Linked DNA regions of Drosophila melanogaster. The protein of the gene in region 1 interacts with the protein of each later gene in a biochemical or structural test. Each region holds a gene or a part of one and is shown on either strand. Other genes may lie near its edges. The genes, in order: pon and numb.

The links.
Region 2: the proteins of pon (region 1) and numb are reported together in a solved structure, tested with the Drosophila melanogaster proteins (one study listed by BioGRID).

Annotation. Positions count from the first base shown.
Region 1 is NC_004354.4:4,630,914-4,641,878, reverse strand, and holds pon (partner of numb), read right to left. Parts: upstream 5,562-10,965; 5' UTR 5,427-5,561; coding exon 4,962-5,426; intron 4,768-4,961; coding exon 3,220-4,767; 3' UTR 2,767-3,219; downstream 1-2,766. Other genes in the region: CG3062 (uncharacterized protein), read left to right, coding at 1-46, 227-511; CG3081 (uncharacterized protein), read left to right, coding at 803-2,554; Alms1a (alstrom syndrome 1a), read left to right, coding at 5,979-8,001, 8,055-9,061, 9,133-9,859, 9,917-10,065, 10,149-10,211.
Region 2 is NT_033779.5:9,444,402-9,455,316, reverse strand, and holds the start of numb (numb), read right to left. Parts: upstream 5,488-10,915; 5' UTR 4,936-5,487; intron 4,722-4,935; 5' UTR 4,697-4,721; intron 1-4,696.

The DNA.
Region 1 (10,965 bases):
GAGCGAGCGGAGTGCGCGCTGCAATCGGGCCAAGTGCGACGTGGTGGTGAGTGGGAATCGGGGTCACCATCGGGGTCACCATCGGTGTCACCTCTTACCAATTATGTGCACCCAGATTATTGAGTTATCTGCAACCAAGCTATACATATTTTCATTTCTGGTTGCACTTTTTGCACTTTCATCCTGCACCCTGCACACTCACATTCACATTCACCTGCAACCGTAGAGCGAGAAAACCGTGAAGATGACGCCGAAGGCAATCAAGACGACGGGTGTGGCCACCGAAAAGCGGCGTCGAAAGCGCACCATAACCGCCTTTTCCAAAGGACGAACGGCATTGCATCCCAATGAGCTGACCAAGCCGATTCCATCGTCGGAGAAACCGGCGGCGACTGTCGCCACTCCCAAGGACAAGCCGAAGGACAAGCCAAAGGACAAGGAGGCGGGCAAGAAGGATAAGACGAAGGATAAGGGCAAGGAGAAAGAGCGCAAGGCGGCGAAGGGCCATTAGTAAAACTTCATTATTTTGTTCAACCGAAATTCAAATCAAATTCATTGTAACCGCAGGTTTAAAATACATTTTAAAGGGCAGCACGATTGCACTCAACACAAATCATATAGCATATATATTTTATAACTAAACCCAGGTTAAACCATCTGTTACATATGTACATAAATCATACATCATTATCATCTCCATCTCCATCTCCATCTTATCTCATCCCATTCCATTCTGCACCACCAACGCATTGCAACAAGTGAACGAACCTGAAAGCCACCTACTCCATTACTCCATCCAATCATGTCGCAAACAGCTCTCCCGGAACTGAGCTACACGCCGGGCGACCTAACAGAGCCGCAGTTCCGGCTGCCCTCGCACCAGGAGCTCCTCGACCAGAAACGCAACAGCACGGACAGCGTGCCACTTGGTCGTCTCACCTTGGACACGCGCGACACGCAGCCCATCAAGTACAGGGAGCAGCTGGGCTCGGCGGCCGGTCGTCAATTTCCGGCATTGGCAGCGGCCCAAAATCGCTATACGGATCACTTGGAGCGCAGCAGCGAGTTGAGCTTTGCGTGCCTGGAGCCGGGCAAGGATCTAATCTCATTGCCGACGGTGGGTATACGAAGCTTTGATCTCGATCCCGTATCCGTATCCGAACCCGATTTGATCAAGAAGATGCCGCTGCACTCGATCACGGAGAAGCCCAACGAGCGGTGTCCATCGCCAGTGGTGCCGGCATATGCCAATTTCGAGCTGGCCAAACGGATGCACCAGGACAATTTGGACCACCAGCCGCTGCCCGATTGCGTCGCCGATTTGGCATTCCGGCGAGCGCAAATATCCGGCGGACATGCTGGCCTGGCCCTGGAAATCGATCCCATTGCCACGGGCGTGGGTGTGAAAACGCACAATGCTGGTCCGACGCACTGCACCAAGATGAAGGTCTTTCGTCCGAAGACCGGCGGTGGCATCGTGCCACGTGCCCTCGGCAATGGCGATGCCTTTCGAGGTGTTGGCTCCGCTCCGGCCAAAAAGATGGGACCCATGGATTTGGCCATTTGTTGGGACTTCAAGCCGGCGAATCCATCGGATGAGCCGCGCCTGGCCAGGCACATAGATGGCTCCAATGACTCCGCTGGACCGGCTGTCTTCACCTGCGTGAAAACGCCTCGCGAGGAACAGTCCTCGGACTTGGGCCGATCGGCTGGCGTCTTCACCAGCACGCTTGGTGAGGCCGATTTCTTCGACAAGGACATCCTGAGGAAGCGAACGGATTTTGGCGGTGCCCGTGTGGATCGCGAGGATCCGTGCGCCTGCGACTACTCGCCACCGGCCAGACAAAGAGCACGCAGTGTCTCCCGCGATTCCAGTGCATCGCATTGCAGGCGAGGATCGGGCATCGGCGGTCCAACTGGCGGTGTGAGTTTCGGCAATTTGGCGGAGCTACCCGGTCGCGGGATGCCCGATCGTCTAGCCAAGCAGTATCAATCGTCACCCCTGCTGGGCGACAAAGCCTACCAGGCTTTGAGGGAGAAATATTTGGGTCCGGACTCTGGACAGGATTGCAGGGCCATGGATTGCCGGCCAACGGGTGGTCCACCATGCAAGCGAGACGTTCTCCTCCGGCGTCCAGCTCGACGTCTCTGCCACAAGGTGGCTCCAGCTCCCAGATGCTGTCCCCCATCGTTCGGCGGACATGGTCATCACCATGGACATGGACACGGACACGGACATTGCTTGACCAGTAAGGCGGCATTTCGCGCCGGAGTGCCCAAGCATAATGCCTCCGGTGATTTCGTGGGAATAGAACCGGGCTGCGGAGGAGGTGGCGGTGGCGGTGGTAGGGTTCTGGTGGTGCCACGCCCCCGGCAGCCGTATGCCAAAAAGAATTACGACATCGAAACCCTGGTGCCGCCCTTCCAAAGCCAAGCGGGCGGAGCGGGTCAGGGCGGCTATCCAGAGCACTGGCGATTGGCCAGTGTCTATCAGCACGCCTACAAGCCCATCGACCAGCGGCGGCGACCCCTTCTCCAAACTGTCTACAAGTAGGTGTGCTCCAGGATGGCAGTCCGCTCAAGAGAGAAATGTCCGGACAAACGGGATAATGAATAATTGAAAGCTATACAAAAATGTCCATAAGCTAAGCAAGTATATTAACTTATCAACTTAAATGTTTGCTAGTCATTAGCATTAAATTGATGCATCTGTACACACAAATTAGTCGGAAAAATCGGTCCAAGAATAGGAAATCACACGTTTATGTATAAAAAAACAAATGTTATATATATTAGAAAGCATATATATATATATATATAAAGATATATGGGCAAACATACATACATACATATATGAATAAACGTGCAAACATCAAGTAACTTAAAACTATAAACAGTGTGCAAATTAATTTGCAGAGTTCGCTTGAAAAATTAAGAAAAAAAACTTGATTAAAAACTAGGTGATGATGTGGTTTTCAGATGAAATAAGGTTTCCTTTCCTTTTTTCGCTGGTCTTGTGTGACAATCTTTGGGTGCAATTAAAAACTTAACTAGGTGCTGAAAAATCGAATTGAAAAGAAGTCAATTGGGTCAATTCAACAAGGGGAAGGCGCATTTCAAAAATAATAACAAATAAATTTAAATGCTTTCGGTTACAGAAATGCCATTTGAAATCCCCTAAAAATCGACGCACCAATTGAATCTGTGGAGCCAACCTGCTCACTTGGCGGTTGCATAGGCATCGTGACTCTTGTGGAACACATGGCGCAGCACGTCCCGCGTGGACCGCCTAATGCTGTTCCGCAGTGAGTGCTTCTTCTCGTTGGTCAGCTGCTCGATGGTCATGTACTCGGTTTGGGCAACGCTCGAGCGGAGCTTCATGGTCCGTTCGCTGGTGTCGATAATGGAGACGTCGGCGAGAACGGGCTCCATTTGCTCCTCCAACTCGGCCGCCTTTTGTGGCCTCCTGCGCAGGCTGTGCCGAATGCTATTGAGTATGTTGTGCTGTCCATGGCCCTGTCCATGTCCATGTTCATCCTTGTCCTCGGACTTTACCTCGGATGGCGTGGTGTGCGACGTGGGATGCATCAGTCTTCGAATGGACTTTCTTATCATGCCTTTCATTCCGATACTGGGCTTAACTTCTGCCGATTTGGCGGACTTGCTTGATCCGATGGACTGCAGCGACTCCTTGCTGGCCGCCTTGGAGGGCAGAGCGGCGGGTCTGTAGGCGCGAACGAAGCGCGCGGGTGCCTTGAAGTCTAGATCATCGGGCTCGTCGTCGGATTCGGATTCGGAGGCATAGGCCACATCGCCGTCGGTTGGCTCCTTTTCCCGTTCCTCTTCTAGCTGCCTTTCCAGGAGCTCCTCCTCCTCCAGCTTCTCCTTCTCCAGATGCTTGGCCCTCTCCTGGAGCTTTTCCCTGAGCTGCTCGTGCAGCTTCTCCTGCAGCTTCTCTCGCTCCAAATGTTTTTCCCTCTCTAGGAGTTTCTCCTGCTTCAATTGCTTCTCCCTCGTTAAATGTCGTTCCCGCTCTGAGACCATCTCCTGCTCTAGAATCTTCTCCTGCTCGAGAATCACCTCTGCTTCGCGGTCCTGCTCGAGCAGCTTCTCCGTGTCCTCTTCCACCTCGGAAGCCTCGCTAATCTCGGTTAGTGTGCGTCGTCTGGTGCAAACCAGACGCCTCTCCACTTGAGTGTCCACCGTCACCACTTCCTGCATCATCAGCTCCTGCGTATTGGTCTCCATGACCAAGGAGACCTTGGTGTTCTTGGGCAGTTCCACCTCCAAGCTATTCCTGGGCAACTCTCTATCCACCAGCACGCCATTCTTCCGTAGCTTCGCCTCGTTGATGCTGTTCTCCAATTCCAGTTGATAGCGATCCAGCTCCTTGCCAATGTCCATAGACGACTCCTCGCTGATGGCGCCCAGCGATCGTTTGGGCGCCGGAACGGGCGAAAAGACCAGCTTCTCGGCCAGCAGCTTGCTAGGCGTTAGCTGCGTAAGGGACATGCCGTGAAAATCGATGCGACAGCCCAGCGTTGGCGTGAATGGCAAGCCGATCTTCAGGCTGGTGGGCAGCTGCTCCTCCGAATCCCTATCGGCCAGTGCCGGATTGGCCACACCCGAGGGATTGCAGGCTGCCTCGGACGCCTCGCTGGGCCGATGGATCTCGAAGGGATTGAGCGAGGCCGGCGCATCACTGCCGCGCAAATTCAGGGCAGGATTCACGAAGCCCTTGGCGGGCGTGGTTGCCGAGCGGACGACCTAAAAATATTATGGCTGAGTTATAATAATATTCTATAGCTATATATAATAAATGTATGATTTTTATGTAGTTTTTAATATATAGATTATAAAGATATTGTTTTATTTAGAAAACAAACACATATGAATGATTTCTACTGTAACTTAACTGCGACAAAAAGTACATCCATGTACGATTAGACTAGTGAACTCACCTCATATGGATTGAACTGCTTCTCGGGCAGCTCCAAATTCAGGCCAGGATTCTCGAAGCAGGCATGCTCGCGCTTCTTCTTCTTGGGCGGCTGGCGCAGGACCTCAAAAGGATTCGTGGGTAGCTTTTGTTGTTGTTGTTGCTGCTGCTGATGATGCTGCTGGTGCTGCTGCTTCTGGGCCAGATCAGCTATGGACTTGACCTCCAAGCCGGGAAACGGATTGGGTTGGCTATTCTCCTTGGCCAAACGACGACGAGCCACCATTAGCTTCTTGGGCGTGGAACTGAAGGCGGCGTTGGTGAAGCAGGATTCTGTCGACGCGACAGCTGCATCCTGTGCGTCCTTTTCTGGGGGTTGTTGCTGCGGATTCGGGGGCGGGGCAGCATTTTTATAGAGCGTCTCCCTTTTGCGTTTGCGCGGCGTCTCCGTGAAAGCCAATGCAGCTATGCTCTTCGTCTCCAGCATTATTCAGTCGATCACAAGTCGATGTGTATATCTTAAGTTTCTTTAATCAGATTCAAATTGTTTTTCTAGAGCAGCGAGGAGCAATTATAAACAACGCAGTACGACACCAAATGCCATTTTGAAAATCCACAGACAACCGGAACCGGTTGCATCGTTAGCCAACACTGCGTCCGAACCGGTTCTCAATAGGCCCTGTTAATCCCATATTACATTGCTGTTAATAAAATTTTTTACTTATTCACTTGTATCAACTAACCAAATGCTTTATTTGAATTATGTACATAATAGTATATATATTATATATGCTTTTTTCATTGATTTTAACATTTCAGTATGTACTTTAGGAAAATGTAATGTAATGTAATTTTAACCAAAATAATCGATATCGATAACAAAGGCATCTAACCAACTATCGCCACCGATAGGCGATAACTTTCGATATCAGGTGGCTCAATTTGTTTTCGAATGATTTTAGCGTCACATCAAACTAGTTTCTAACGCTGCTTCCATGTGGCGAACTGACATATTGAAGGGGAATAAACTTTTTCGACCATGAGAGCGAAGAGAGGAGCAGTCGGAAAGGTGATGATGTCCGGTTCTCGCCATAACAAATTGGCGGAATCATCCCGCGTTCCTCCACTAGCTAGGGAATATATCAGCGCAATGGCCACGGACCGGGAATTAGATCGATTCATGGCCCTTTCGTCGACGGCAAGCAGTGGAGCCAGTGGCAGCACCCACAGTTGTGCCCTGGGATCAGTCCCGCCGCCAGGATGTGCCTCCATGGAACATGAATCGCGACCAGAATCAGGCCACAGGCGTCGCACGAAGAGCAGCGATCATCGTTCACCTGACGAACGGGGGGAAGCAAAGGAACAGCTCCGGGAACTGTCAGTTTCACCACCACCCAGTAAGCACAAAATCAGTCAGTTCACATCACCGAAATCGGAAGTAACTAAGACGAAACCGAATGAATACACTATAATTCCTATTGTATTGGCCAGTAGCCCCAGTTTTCGTTCCGTAGCAGTCACCCAAACCATGTCCCAATCCGCGGAGGACATACGCACACCTACCAAGTCGCCCCAGATGCAAAACAAAAAAACGCAGACACCAGAGTCTGTCCTTAAGTCACACAAACGCCTGGAGTGGGATCCTTCTGCCGATGTGGGCTACTGCAAGAGGGCAATGTCCATGAGTAACATCAGCACGCTGGAGCGATCCGTTTTGGAGGATTGCAGCTGGCGTCAGCCAACACAGCAGCGACCCGAGGCGAATTTGGATGGAGTGCAGCCCCTTTTGGCCGAGGAACCGTCACCAATGTTGGATAAGCCAACGCCGCCACTGGCTTGCAGCACGTTTGTCAATCGCAGCGAACGCACGAAGTCTCTAAACTCTGGAATGGAAAGTTCATTGAGCTCCAATAAAGGAGATCCTAGAAAGAAGTGCCAACGTAAATCCAGGAGACAGGATTCCGAAGTTAGCTCTTGTCAGACGGACTGTCGCAGCAGCTCGCAAAAGGAGTCAACCCAAGGCAGTTCTGAAGCAAAAGATATTCGTGGAAATTTTACAACAGAAGGTACCCAATGCAGTTACAATAGAAATGATACCGAAATTGACTCCATAATGGAAGAAGAAGAATCAATTGACAGGCGTAAGAAAGACGATTTAAGGATTAGTTCGCGAGTACAAGATCCACAGATAAGTTCTCGCAGGCCATCGGTGAGTAGCTCGCGGAGGGAATCGCTGAGCAGTTACAGAAGAGACGACTCCAGGCTCAACTCGCCAAATAGCTCCAGATTGGGATCAGAAGTCAGCTCAAGGGTGGAGAGCTCGCGTTCCAGTTCAAGGCGGGAATCACAAACCAACTCGGTGTACGGCAGTTTGTCGGCCAGTAGCTTTGATTATCACATGCATATGGCGCAGGAAGTCGAGGTGCTCAAACACAATCAAAGGAGACAACAAGAGATGGAGGTTGAGCCAAAGAAGCAACTGGAAAAAGAGCAGCACCAAAATGATATGCAACAAGGGGAACCAAAGGGAAGAGAACTAAAGGACAAGAATCATCATTCGGGAAGGGAGCAGCAAGAAATTCAGCCACTCATGAGAGACCAAAGGAAAGCTGAACAGCGCCATGAAAAGGATCATCAACTGGAAAGGGAACAGCAAGGAATCCAGCAACTCTCGAAGGGCCAAAGAAAAGCTAAAAAGCGCGAAAAGGAGCGCGAGCAAGAGCGACAGTACACGGCGGCTCAGTTCGAGAAAATTCGGAGCAATAGGCGGCATGTGAACAAGGAGAACCAGAAGCCCGAGAACCCTGTAGTAAATCCCTCCACCGGCGTTACAGCCTCCACATCAACCACCTCATTAGACGTTGGATCCGGTAGTAGACCGGGAGGGGAATTGGATCTAGGAATCGATTTGCTGTGTTCTTTGGTAAAATCTCGCAGCCTCAGCCAGGGACAGAAGAAAAAACTCGTCCGTGATATAGCCAGGCGTATCTCCTGTCTGGAACTGACCGAATCCAGCACTAGTTCGCGTTCCCTGAGCAGCAGCAGCAAGGAGCAGTTGAAGGGTGAGTAAACTCTTCAACAAGGTGGCATTTGTAGTAATTCATACTTTAAACAGTGCCTACAGGTTCTCTGCAGCAAGTTGCGGCCACCAATACGAACCAATCCAATGCGAGAAGCTCATCCAAAGCTGAACGTATTGCTCCACCAGTTCCCGCTCCACGAAAGCGAGCAGCTATCGGATCATCTTCGCCACTGCCTGAAAGCGTATCGTACAGTGGCTCAACCAGTGGCTCAGGCGAGGTGATCACCCAGAAGACAAATATACCGAATCGCAATGCCTCAACGGATGCAGATATTGAGCCTTTGGATTTGCAGGATTGGCTGAATCCCATGACCCTGAGTGAAATAGAGTTCGAAGAGCGTTTGAAAGGTGGCACGGATTCGGAGCGAAGGAGGCAGCTCCACTGGGTCAAGACAGAGATTAATCGCATGCAGGAATTTAAGAATCTTTTGGAAAATATCAGTTTGCCCAGCAAGTCGCAGAAGAAAGCAAACACGGAATCTGCGACGGCTGCGCAGATTCCAAGTTCCATGCGATGTATGGGCGACCAGAAGGAGCGACCGGACAAGGAATATCTTCTGCGACAAGAAATGTCAGCTGAAGCAGAGAGCAAAGAGATGGAAAATTCGGAAACAACAACAACACCGCCGCCCCCAGTGAGAATTGAATCGGTTGGAGTGAATGTGACCAATTCTGATCCTTCCACACTGCCAGCACCGCCCCCGACACAACCACCACCACCACCTCCTCACCTTAACCAGCGGAATCTGCAGAACCGTAAAAAGATGGCCACTCCTTTACTTGTCTCAGGTAGCTCTACCAGTGGCGGCGGTCGCAGCGAAAGTGTCTGCTCCTTTGTCCAGCAAAGGCAGCGTCAGTTCCGCGAGCATTATCAGAACCAGCAGCAGCAACAGTTTGTATTGCTTCAGCAACAGAAACTTTACCAGCTGCAGAAGCAGCTGAACCAGCAAAAAGATATATTGATACAGAGGCAGCAACATTGCGGTCAGTGTGCTCAATGTGGTCACCAGCGGACTTGCATTCATCAGCAGAATTGTCCGGTAAGGCTATTGCCCAATAAAAGGAATCCTGCGACTTCCTCATACTCAAGCCATCTCTTTCTTTTTCACAGAGGCGTCAACAGGAAGCAGAGGAGCAGCCCGATGAACGTGAGCAATATATGCAGATGCAGTACGCCCAGGCGGCGGGAAGTGCCTATGCCACTCCACACCAGAGTGGTAGCTCCGGCGCGGATAAGAATGAAGCCATCTACTACCAGGTGGTCAACTCTCAGGGAGTAGCTAGCTATGTGCAAGCAACAATGGTGAGCACAGAGACACAAAATGAAGCAAGTGCAACTGGTGGAGCAGGAGGCTCGGCAATCACCAGATCGACCACAACCACCACAAATTCATCGTCCTCGATGATGTGCATCAGCTCGGACATGTCCGTACCCATGGGCATGATGAACACCTGTGAGACCACCACTACGACCACCACTCATCAGTACGATGATGTGGCATGTCAGCGGGTGCGAAGAGGGCACAAGGAGACCACGATGAATGCAGAGAGTATGCAACGCCAAACGCTACAAGTGCGTCCACGTGCTATATCCTATGTCATCCAGTTTACGCCGACGGGCAGCAGTGAGGTGATTGAGAAACCTCCCTCCCTGCAGGATCAACTGCAGCTGGCTCGTCCCGAATTCTGTGCCAATGCCAAGCAGCGCAAGGCCATACTTAATGAGATGCAGATGATTCGCAATGCTCGGCGCCAGGAGCTGGACAATGTTTTGAGCCAGAGTACCAGCATGGAGGCGCTGAACAGGCATCTGGAGCAGCTGCCTCCACCAGCCAATAGTAAGATATCAAATGGAATCCGAAGTCCGAATAATAACTACATTTCTTAACTTGCAGCTCGAGTTAGGTTATTTACCACCAGGGAAATGAAGGCGATAACCTCCAAACGGTGCAAAAATTTGCCGGAAGTGTTGGCCGCCCAAAGTCGCCAGGAGGAGGAGCAGAGACGTCGCTCCAATCGTTTGATGCGCGATGTCTTCAACAAGGTCAGACAATGAACACCCATTCAACCCGATTTGTCCATATATTTAAAATCTCATAAATTCCTAAATCCCATTTATCCAAACAGCGCCTCAAAAGTCGCGTGGCCAGCGGACAGATATCCCTGAATCACAGCATGGCAATCATGTAGAGAAGATCGAATCAGGATTTTTCCACAGCCACCGAAATGACACCCACCAGTTATAGTTTTTCATTATTATGCTATTGCCAGTGCTAGGCTTTGTATTTTTCTATAGCTTTTAATTGATCACAATTGTTTAAATCCCGAAGCACGTATGGTTTAGTCCATACGTAATGTTTAAATTTAATGTAGACGGCCAGTTAACTCCAAACATAGAAAACTATGTTGATTTAGCATTTGACTAAATTTGTAATGTTTTTAAAAGAAATAAATTGAGCACGGGTTGACGATCGATATATATTATATATTATATTTTTATTGATATTTTATTGATTATCATCTCAATATGTACTTTAGGAAAATGTAATGGCATTTTGAACAAATTAATAGGAGAGAGAGACTGCTATAGTCGAGTTCCCCGACTATCAGATACCTGTTACTCCAGCTGGTGTGAATGCGAACGCGAAATTTCATAATTTTTCTAGGATATCGATAGATATTGGGGAATAAAATGAGAAAAAGTTTAAAAATTGTTCGGCTTTAGGCCATTAGAGTGGGCGTGGCAAAAAGTTGATTAGCAAATCTATAGAAATTTACAAGACTAATAAAAATTTGAGAAAAATATAAACACACGTGCTGTTTGTGGGCGTTAGAGTGGGCGTGGCAACATTGGTCAACAAACTTGTGCTGCGTTTTCGAATGATTTTTGCGTCACATCAAACTAGTCTCTGGCGAATTGGAATATAGCAGGGAAATAAACTTT
Region 2 (10,915 bases), on another chromosome or scaffold:
TTCTAATTGCACAGCGGCGTCGTCGGGCGCAGGGGTTCCTGCCATTGAGCAAAATACTAGGGTATGCTGCGCATAATTATTAGCTGTCAATTGGGCGTTGATCTGACCATTATGTGTCTGCCATATATGGTTCTATATGGGAATTATCGAAAAATTGGCGGGGGGTGTGGGAAAAGGTAAGTGTGAGAAAAAAAAAGGTGACTAGGGATGCTGGCAGGATGCAAATATTAGAAAATAAATGCGACTGTCTGGTACAAATTCTATTATTATTGTTAATAAAAAAGAAAGACAGAAATGCATCTCTAAAAGTGCATTTATGTACAAGTTTATCCTTATCAGAGTACATGAAATTGGGAAATCGATATGTGGAATATGTATACATACAATCCTAACTGTTCCACCACATCCTTTAACAAAACAAACTCCAATACGAGCATTTCCAGCACAAAAACACTTGAGAGAAACCTCAAAAACCCGACGAACGGAAGTAGAAATGCAGGCACAGAAAAAATAAAAACAATAGGCACGCCTGCGAGCTATACACATGTGAGTTTGTGGAGTGGAGGTAGGTAGTATATGTACCATCCATACATCCATACATAATATACCTTATAAGAAGTGTTCTGTCCTGGCGAACACGAGACATGCAAGCGGGTCACAATTCGAACAACTTCGAAATAGTTTGCATCTGTCGTTTGAAACGAATGCAGCCCCTGCCGGCAGTTGTTGTTCGGCTTTCTGTCTCTTTCGCACCTTTTACCAGGATCCTGCCATATGGCTCGGTGCACGTGGCGAAGGATTCTCGAAGGATTCTCTGGTTAAGTGGGTACTCGGACTCGCGCACATGCCGCCGTCTGTTCTCAGCATAGTGACTTCGATTTGCTACGATTTCCGAATTTCCAGGTAAACGGAATCGTTTGGTTCGTGTCTCAACAGGACGATCGAAGATCCTTGTTATCCTTTGTTTGCTCGCCAGCCGGCAGATGCGACGGTAATTACATTCGACTTTAGCCACTTTTGTGAGCGTACGATTTTGTTTCTGCGAACCACGCTTACAAGCTTTCTGTTTACACTCATTATGCAAATAAATATTTCAATGACTCAACGCGCTGTGGCAAACTTAACAAAAGTTAACCGAATTTTTCGGGGAACCTGTTTCCGAGCCGTGCGACACGTTATAGCCATTAAAATATGCAATTCAATGAAGAAATGAAGACCAAAGGTGAGAAACACAGAGAAATTTTCAACAACCAATCATTCATCCAAGGCACATTTACCATTACGCATTCATAACTCATAAAGCGAGGGAAAATCGTAGAGGAAAATCACTGGGGAATACTAAGAACTAATTTAATATGCACAAGAATGTATAATGCGTTGAAAACAAATTCCTAAGACAATAGCCAAACCAAAGCTTATTTGAATTTATTCAATCCTTATACTGAATTTGTAATGACCCTGGAAACTTGATACAAATGCTTCGATGTGACAGAAAAATATATTAGATTACAAAACAAGATTTTTAAAGGCACTAGTAGTTTAATTTCCTAAGTATTTATCCAAATGTTGATCTCCAGCAAACGTCGTGTAATCAAAGTACACAAGATGTAATATTTTTCTTTCCCAGACAGAAGCAAACGTAAAACTGGCTAAAGAGCTCTTTTTTATCTGACAGTTTTAAAATGGGAAAGGGATTTTTCAAAATGTGACTTTGCGATAAGCAAAACAACAGGAGAATTTGTTTGCTTACAAGTTTTGTGGAAAGTTACGTGACATCACCAGCAACTATGTTTAGATAACTGCTAAGTTTAGACGATTATCCAACCGATTTATGGCGGCAAAGGTCGTCGCGGAGGCAAAGTGGTCCAAAATTCGAGGCGATGGAAAGTCAGCCAAGCCTGACGATTTTCCAAACGGTTGTCTCCCGCTATTTTCCAGTGGCATTCTCTGCTCTGATTGTCATAGTTTCGTCGTCAAAAGGGGGAAGGAGGAGGAGAGTCAAATCAATTTTATGGCGCACAAAAGTGTAACCACGTTAGTTTTCTCTGTTCCAATTGTCAACGCTCGTCTTCTGTCGACGCCAGGCAAATAGACATCACACAAAACAGCTGTTGGCCAATTGGTTTAGCAATTTCCGGGTGCCAGGCGCCCAAAAGTAGGCAGTGCAAATACCCAATGAAAATAATCGATAGGAAACTAAACAAACAACCCATATACTTGCCAAAAGAAGCCATCCTAGTGTTTTTTGTGGGGGCGCAGTAATACTGGCGCAAATAGTCCCCTATTTGCCTAATAAGCCAGGCGAACAGGTGTGTCACGGTATTTGGGTTACATATAAGAATTTGGCATAGGTAAATAAACGTTCTATTTCAATAGAATTTTATATCAGAGCTAAAGTAATTACATACACAATTTGACAAACTATAGTTTCTATATAAGATTAATCCTTTATCAGCGCACAACCAGCTGACAGACCGGAAATTGAACTGGCTCATTAAAGGCAATAAAAAAGGAGCTAGGAACGGAAATTCTCGTAATCATATCCAAGCATGCCCTTTGACATTCTTAAGGCGCTGCGGCTTTGGCCAACTTAGCCAAGCCAAGGCCAAGTTATTACCAAGTTGGCGTGTCGACTTAGTCGGGTCTTCGAGAGGCGAGAAAAGTTTTTGGCATTAATGCGAAATGTTTGCTGTTCAGCTTTACGGCTAGTTAGCTATTGGCAGGCAAGAAAAATGCCAAGTATAAACAAAAAGTTACAAACTCTCTAATACCCTTTAAGGTTCATAATTGTAATTTTTTGCAGACTTTCAAAGCAATTGCAAGTGGTTTTTATAAAAGAAATACAAGTGGGGACACCTAAAGGAATCCCCGTGTCTTCTAGGCCGATTTAATAGCGTTATTTTCTATTAAAATCTGCCTGTTAATCGACGCAGCATTTAAGTATCAACTTAATGACAAAACGTTTACATGCATAATTATCCAATTTTTTGCATTTTTAATTTCCTGCCTTAGATGTAGAATGCCAGGTGCCACATGCCCGCTGTGTCCCGTCTCCAGAGCTAAGTTAATGGCCCAGAAGTTGAAGTTCTAGCTGGCAGCCATGACTTGGAGTTAGACTTGGTCTTGGACTTGTTCCCGTGTTCTTGACTTGTCCAACGTCTCTCTTTGTTGGCAGTTGGCTGGCTGGCTGCTGCTGCTGTTGTTAATCATCGGCGTTGCAGCATAAAAATAGAAAGGAAATTCCATGAAATTAAAGTTTTATGCAGCCACAGCCGAGGCAGCGATCAAGTTGAAGTTGAAGTTGAGGTCTAACTCCTCGACTGAGTGTTGAACTTGCAGAGCGATGGGATGGAGCTCGAGGATGGGGCGCTGGAGCTTGGAGCTGAGAGCTGAGAGCTCGGTCTTAGCCAAACGTTTAGCGAAAGCCGCGTCTCGAAGAATGCAGTCGACTTGGCATAATCGAAAGGCATGTGAGAAAAGTTGGAGTCGGCTGGCTGCCAGCCAGCCACCAAACCGGTTCCATTCGACGCGGCTCCACCATCCCAGAGTTGGCTTAACTCAAGTCCAACTGCACCCAGGTAGCATTATGTTCTTACTTTTTTCCTCGGCTTGTTACCAGTTTTTTTTTTCGTTCGTGTTTCTGGCTTTTCTTGGAATGTTTCTGAATGGTTTTTGCTGGAGCTTTTTGCCTGAAGTTTTTATGAACTGCTGAGATTTATAATCTGACCAGGCTGCAAAGCATTGCTACCAAAAAAAAAAGAAAAAAGTGCAGCATAAATCAGGGAGCCCTTTTGGTGGAAACTCAAGATCTTGAAGAACATTCCGAGTAAATCAAGTTGAACAGCATAATTATGCAAAGCAAAAGTATCCCATAGTTTGCGGCTGCAAAAAACTCTCTTCTGGCGAAAGCGGGGGCCAAGTTGGCATTTAATTACACTGTTATTATAATATATTTTCACCCACTCTCGGTTGGTTTCGTTCTCAGCCGCCCCAAACCAATTCATTACTCATTTCAATGGGAAATTTTCCCCATTTTCCATTTTGCCTTTGCCACTTTTCTTTTTTTTCTTCGTTTTGTTTGTTATCGCAGTAATTTATGCAGTTGACAGTCAAATAATTTGGCACACAGTATACATTAAAATAAATTAACTTTACAAAAGAGCTGGGAGAAGAGTTTGTGGTAAGAATATGTGCATGCTTCGGCAGAAATTCATTGGATTTTAAACTGAAATGTGGGACTATATTTGAAATAGTCTAAATAGTCTTTATATACGATCGATTCGAAGAGTTGTAGTCATGCCAAATGATTCATCTTCGGAAACGTGAGAGACTGGAGACCAGTAGAATCCAGTCAATCGTAACTTTTTAGATATATATGTACGTATGTGCGTATGTATGTATGTGCGTTCATGTGATCCAGCCAAAATCAGCTAATTGCTAATTGTGTTTATATATTTCATTTGTTAACCCTCTCTCAACAATTGCTATGTTCAAGTGCAAACTGCAAAGATTTATTGAGTTTTTTAGCTGGGTAATTCATTCTAAATTACTGGTATCGCTATAACCTTAATGGATATACTCCCCCTGATTATTAAAATTAATGCCCCAAAACGTATTTTGAATACTTTAGCTTATTGCGAAGCAAAGTCTAGTATAGTGTTACATAGTTTGAACAGCTGTTTTTAGTTTTCTATACCAATGCATATTGAAGACGTCAAAAACTGGAATTATTACAAAAATGAATATTATGTTTTTACAAATGTCAAAGCAGCAACAACTAGCGTAAAGCTGTAAAAGAATTGCATATGTATATGCAAATCTGATTTTGCACCACAATAAACTCGTTTTGACTTGGCTTTAAATCCGAAGCTCAAGTTAAGCTCAACTTTGGCTGTTGTTACTGTTTTTTTTTTTTTTTTGGTTTTAAACATTTACCATATATATATCGGGATCGGTTTGTATTTGAGTTGCTTTTTTTGGTATATTCCAAAAAGCCGAGTTTTGTTGTCAGTCTGTTTTTGTTTTGATCACATTCGTATGTATAATTAATAAATAAATCCGGTTCGGGCCTTATATAACTTTCTTGCTCATTCAGTGGATTTTTGCCAACGTTTCGGTTTTAACTATTTATTAATTCCAAGAACACCTCGCACAGCACACAGCACACGGAATGTGGGGAAAATCGCGAAAAACCGAAATAACGACAACGCGACACCGATTAAAACGATCCCCGTGTTAAGAGCCCGGTGCCCGGTAAATGGATGGCTGGGATCGGCTTGGCCCAAAAGGCCTGGACTACTTAGGTGTTAACTTTTTTACTATGACCCCCCCGGAAATTGGAAAAAGGTTACACTATCCCTACGCGGACATTTGGACAACCGACGACGACAGTGGGCCGAAAGCGAATGGAAGCGGAGGGAAAACGGAACGCGTTTGTCCGGCAAGCGGTAAGCGGTTAGCTCGATGCGGCGGCTCAAATTGCTCTACTGTACTGGCTGACTCTGGCCGCACGCTCAGCGCTGTTTGAGTCGAGAGGAAAGAGTGCGAGCGTGCAAAGAGCGGAAGAGAGCGACAGCTGTTACAGGGTGTTTCGGCCTGTGTGTGTGTGCACTGAGAAAAATCGAACAAATTGGCCCTGATTTCAACTAAATGTGGTGTTAAGATCACTTTGAGGGAAGAGTGATCTTACTACTTTTCTATCGATTTGGAAAAGGTCGTCATCAAAGGGTATTGCCTTATTCTATTACGCGCTTTTAATACAACCTATTAAGCCATTATTATCATAGTGTTTTATTTTATTTATTATATTACAAGTTGTTAAGTCCTCTTAAAACTTTAAAGTGATTTTTTCAGTGCACCAGTACGTTTGTGGATTTGCTCAGTTCCATTGTGTTTATTTACTACCAACGACGACGTCGTTTTGCTTCTTCCATCTCACCTCCGCTCTGCTGCGTTTGTATTTGTTGTGATAATGATAAAACTGCGACGCGTTTCTGCAGCTTGTAGGTTTTCAAGAGTGGGAGTGAGATAGCAGAAGTTGAGCGAGCGAGAGTGGCGTTTAAGGTATCTCGGCCAGGTATAATCTCAGATGCGCTGCATTTAGAGATCGCGATTTGGTGACCGTGGCTTAAAAGATTTGCGGTTGGGATAAGTTGAGAAAATTCTTGGAAAACACGAGCTCAATTTTATTATTTAACTCTGGGAATTTCCCAAATGGGCCAGTGCTAAGATAATTACAAAGCCGGGTAGTTCAAAAAGGTCCTCTTATTGTTTTGTAATATCTCTGGCTCTCAGATTTATCGCTAACCCATACGCCTTGGATTTAAAGTTCGGAATTGTCTTTAGTCGTCTTTCTTTAGCAGCGCTCAAATTCTTGGAAACTTTGTAAAATAAATTATGAATTTTGCACGGGTGTAAAAATTACAAGTTTTAAGGATGTTATCTTTAAAAACTTGCGTAATAAAAATTACTAATCCCGAAAATTTTTTTGTCTTCGAAATCAGGATTTGAGATACCCCATTGAAGTGATAGAAGGGCATTCAAAACCAGTTGGTTTCGTTGGTTCTGCAGCTGCCAGTTTTTTCCACATGGAGTATGAAGAGCGAGTGGTTTGGTTTGAATGGAAATGATTATGGCACTCAAGAGAGTCATCAAAGAGAGTTACCAAAGACTTAGCTATTAACAAAATGCAAAAGATGGCTAGGTGGTTATGAAATCCCAACGGACATACAAAACAAATGAAAAGAATAAAAACTGATTAACTGAACAATAATCAAGGCTCGGTAATCAATGTATTGAACTTATCGATTTGAATTAGTTGCCCAACCTAAATTCCGTGACAACAATGGCAAAATGATCGATCGAAACCGTAGAACAAAAGAGCGCGCGATGCAAGGTCGTTCGCTCTTTAAGAGAAAATTGTACCCTAAGAGAAACATAGATAACTCCGAAAGATAAATACCCAAATGTGCGCGTGAGACAGTCATACATATAGATAATAAGAGAGTTTTCAGCAATGAAACGTGCGAAAAATTGCAATGCAGCAGCGACTTTAATCCAGGTAGCCCATAAAATCAGGTAGTAAAAAGAATGGTATCAAAACTATTGGGAGCAAACCATTGCTACCTACACATGGCACCCAATCGCGCCAACATTATCGCAATTTAAATGCAGAAAAAACAAAGTGCTGCAACTGATGAAAAAAGCAGACTTGCACTCAGAAAAAATGTAAATTCTTATTGCTATCATTTAATAATACAAATATTTCCAAATTTCATTAAAAGATGACATAAAATTTTCAAACTTTTTCGAGCTTGGGATAAGTTATTCAAAAAGTAATAAAATCAAAATTAACCATAATAAGTGCATACTTATGAATTGATTTACTCAAAACACGAGAAGATGTTAGTTATATAAAGCTTATGTCCATTATCATTTGACTCCATTACGTTAAAATTAAAGACGGTTATGCCTTTTTCCGTGTGTTAAATGTGTTAAAGCCATTACAGACATTACTCGACACTTTTAGATAAACCATAATGAAAACAGCTAGCACTGAATGAGGAGACCCCAGATCCCAGACAACCCACCCACCTCCCGTCGCAGACAAATAATTCCAGCTCCGCTGGTATGAACCGACAAAAGATAATGCCAGACAATGGGGGAAAGGGGAAAACGGAAGAAGCATAGGGAAGCATAGAAATAGGGAAATGGCCATAAGCTGAGAAATCAATGTCAGTCAATGGAGCTGCGGGGCAGACAAAAGCCACATGTGCAACCTAATCAAAATTTCAATCAAAATGCGCAAAATGCCGCAATGAAAGGCTCACAACAAATGGCAACAAATACGCTCAAACACAGTCTAATACGTTGGCATGAGTAATCCAAACCGAATCAATTCACTCGAATTGAACCCAATCTGGCCTGTAATTGCGATTAAGAAGCCAATTACTCATACAAATTGCTGGGTCAATTGTTAAGGATTTCCATTTGCAGACAAGAAGATTAACAAATCAATTGTTGGGCAATAATTGAAATAATTTTGCGACAATTCGAAGGGGGTGATGAATAATCGATTAACCCAATGTTTTGATAATCAAGATTCAAGGTAATTTAGTTTTTGTGATTTTTTAAAGGTTTGTATATTAACTGTGATGATTTAATTCCATTTTGGGTTTAGGAAAAATTGTTAAAAATATATTACGGAAAAAAACTTGTTTGTTGTTTCGTTCTCTCTCTCTCGTTGAAAAAAATATTTGAAATTGCTTACCTTGTATTAGTTTAAGGTGCCTTGAAAAAGCTGAAATGAAAAAAATATTCTTTATTATAAATAGAGTATTAAAGCAGTTATTAAAGTTATTATTTAAGCTGCTGTTTCCGTTACAAAATTTTAAAAATGTTTTTAATCTGGCAATGCTTGAACTCAAGTCTCTCTTAAAAGAAACTTAAGAGCCTGCTTACACCCAATGCATGCACATTCACACTTGGGCACTCAGCTGACAATGTCAGTGACGTTTATAAAAAAGTTCCCACGGTCATTAGGGTCATGACAGCTCTAACATATTTTGTCTCGTGTTCGCAATTTGTTTTTAATTTAAAACTGCATGTGTGTATGTCTATGTATGTGTTTGGCCAAGTAAATGTGTTCTTTTAGCCTATTGCTTATGAGCGTTTCTTGAGTACGTTCTTGAGACGTCGCCGAGCTGAGCCGCAAAACTTGAGTGGCTCGAGGGCTTAAAAGCTTTGTCGGGCAGGTGAAAGAGCTTTTTGTTAATGCTAAGCTCGGCTTGCGGTTGAATGAACTGAAGCTTAAAGTGATTTAAAGTTATTGCACTGAGGATATAAAGTATCACAAGGTATGTACGCTTATAGGAATTAATTGTGTTTAAAAAAGATTTTGTATATCAAATTCTTCTTCCTATTGCCATACATTTATTTTTAAAGATACAATTTAGTAAATAATACTACATACATACATATATGGAAAAAAACAAAAAACACCATTATTGTCACACTCATCATTACTCAAGTATATTATTTTAGGTTAAAGACATCATAAAATTAAAAATTAAATTCGTTTAATTGTAACCCTACTTATTTATCTTATGGATATTTTTTTTTTTTGCTTTGGCGGACTTTCTAACCAATGTTATTTTAAGCCGATAAAAAGTGGTTTACTTTGGCTGATTGCATCTCGGTTCTTTATCAATTTCGTCTCCCACAGTGCCAAATTGTAGGGGTCCTTAATTTTTCAGGGGTTGACAGCTAACCGAGTCCTAAAAAATTAAACTCACAAATTTCACGCCCAACCAATTAGCCTGGGGTTGCTCACGCCCTCTCAACCACCCTCTTTTCAAACTATATTTTCTGCCCCTAGCCCGCCCACTTTTCCCTGCCGATGCGAACTGAAATTTTCAAGTGTCCCCGGGATAAGGTTGCAGATGCAATTAAAAAGCATTTAACGGATTAGAGGCCATAAATAGAGGATTGCAATAAAAATATAGAATAAATACCAGCATTAGAGGACACCGAAACCTTGAAGGGTTGAGCATCGTGTGAACCAAACATGATTTTATTGGAATTTAATTTAATTTAATTAGGGCACAGCCAGTTGAGAATGCCAGTGAAAATATTTCAGACTAAGTTCGCCGCGAATAAATTCCGAGCACTTTTCTCGGATATTCCCATGGCTGCTAATTAATTTTCCGTTTCTGTTGAAGAGCTCAGGTATTTGTATGTAAGGTCATTAAGGCACAAAAGATTTATCCAATTGCTTTTGAGAAATATTAAGCAAGCTGACTTTCGCCCATTTGGTCGAAAGTAAAATGAAGTTACAGGGGGGTCCCTATTGGCCATAACTATAAATATATCAATTGTGGCTCAGCTCTCGCTTAGCCATCACGCATCCAATTTGTTGGCGCATCATCAACTTCATGGCTTCGCCTTCAGATTTACCCCCCACCCCTCCACGCATTGCCACACAAAGTGGCACCTAAAGTGTGTGTAATGCAATTCCATTTTACAGCATTTCTTCATCAGATACTCCTCCGTTTTTTTTTTCTTCTTTTTTTACTCTTTCTTCTCTGCAAATGGACAGAGAGTCATCCGCCGGCAATTTGGAACGATTCCAGTGGACTCCGGGCTCCCATGTCTGGTGTCCAATTATCCTCCCTGCTCCATTCGGGGCTCAGAACTCACTGGATGGAAGCAGATGCAGATGCATATGGAGATCCAGATGCAGACACAGAATGCTGACGACGACCGCGGACACCAATTGGAACGTGCCCGTTTAGTTTTCCTCAGCACGGTTTCAGATGCTAAAATTGCATTAATGCAATTCGCTTTTTTTCTGGTTTGCACTCAAGCCCCCCCCCCCCCCCTCGAGACATTCGTTTTTATTTGGGGAAAAGGGGCGAAAAGTGCCAGTCGAATGTCAAATTGTGTGTATTTTCAGACAGAAGACTTGCATTCTGGGGAATTGTTTAAAGTGACGCTTTTCAAGGGGAAAAATTAGAGAAAGTGTCTCCTTAAACTGAAACGGACCATTTGTAAGTCTTAAGTTACTAAAAGCAATAGCAATGGTACTTTGTTTATTAATCGACTGTTTAATGAATGTGTAAGCTAATTGTTTCTTACATTTCCTGGTTTGACGTTTAATTTGCTATCAAAGATAATCGGCTTATTGCCTATTCCAGTTAAGGAACGCAACGTGTATCCGCTAAATTTACACATAGCAATTATACAACGGATGGTGCTAAATTTCAAGCCCCCGCAAGAGTCAATCAATAAGTAAAATGGTATGGTATCCAAGTCGGGCCACCACCTCAAGGCGTGGCACTTCTGTTGATTGGTGTTCTCTGTTTTCGTGGGGCATGCCACAAGATTAATGAGGAACATTGAAACGCCTAAACTTGTT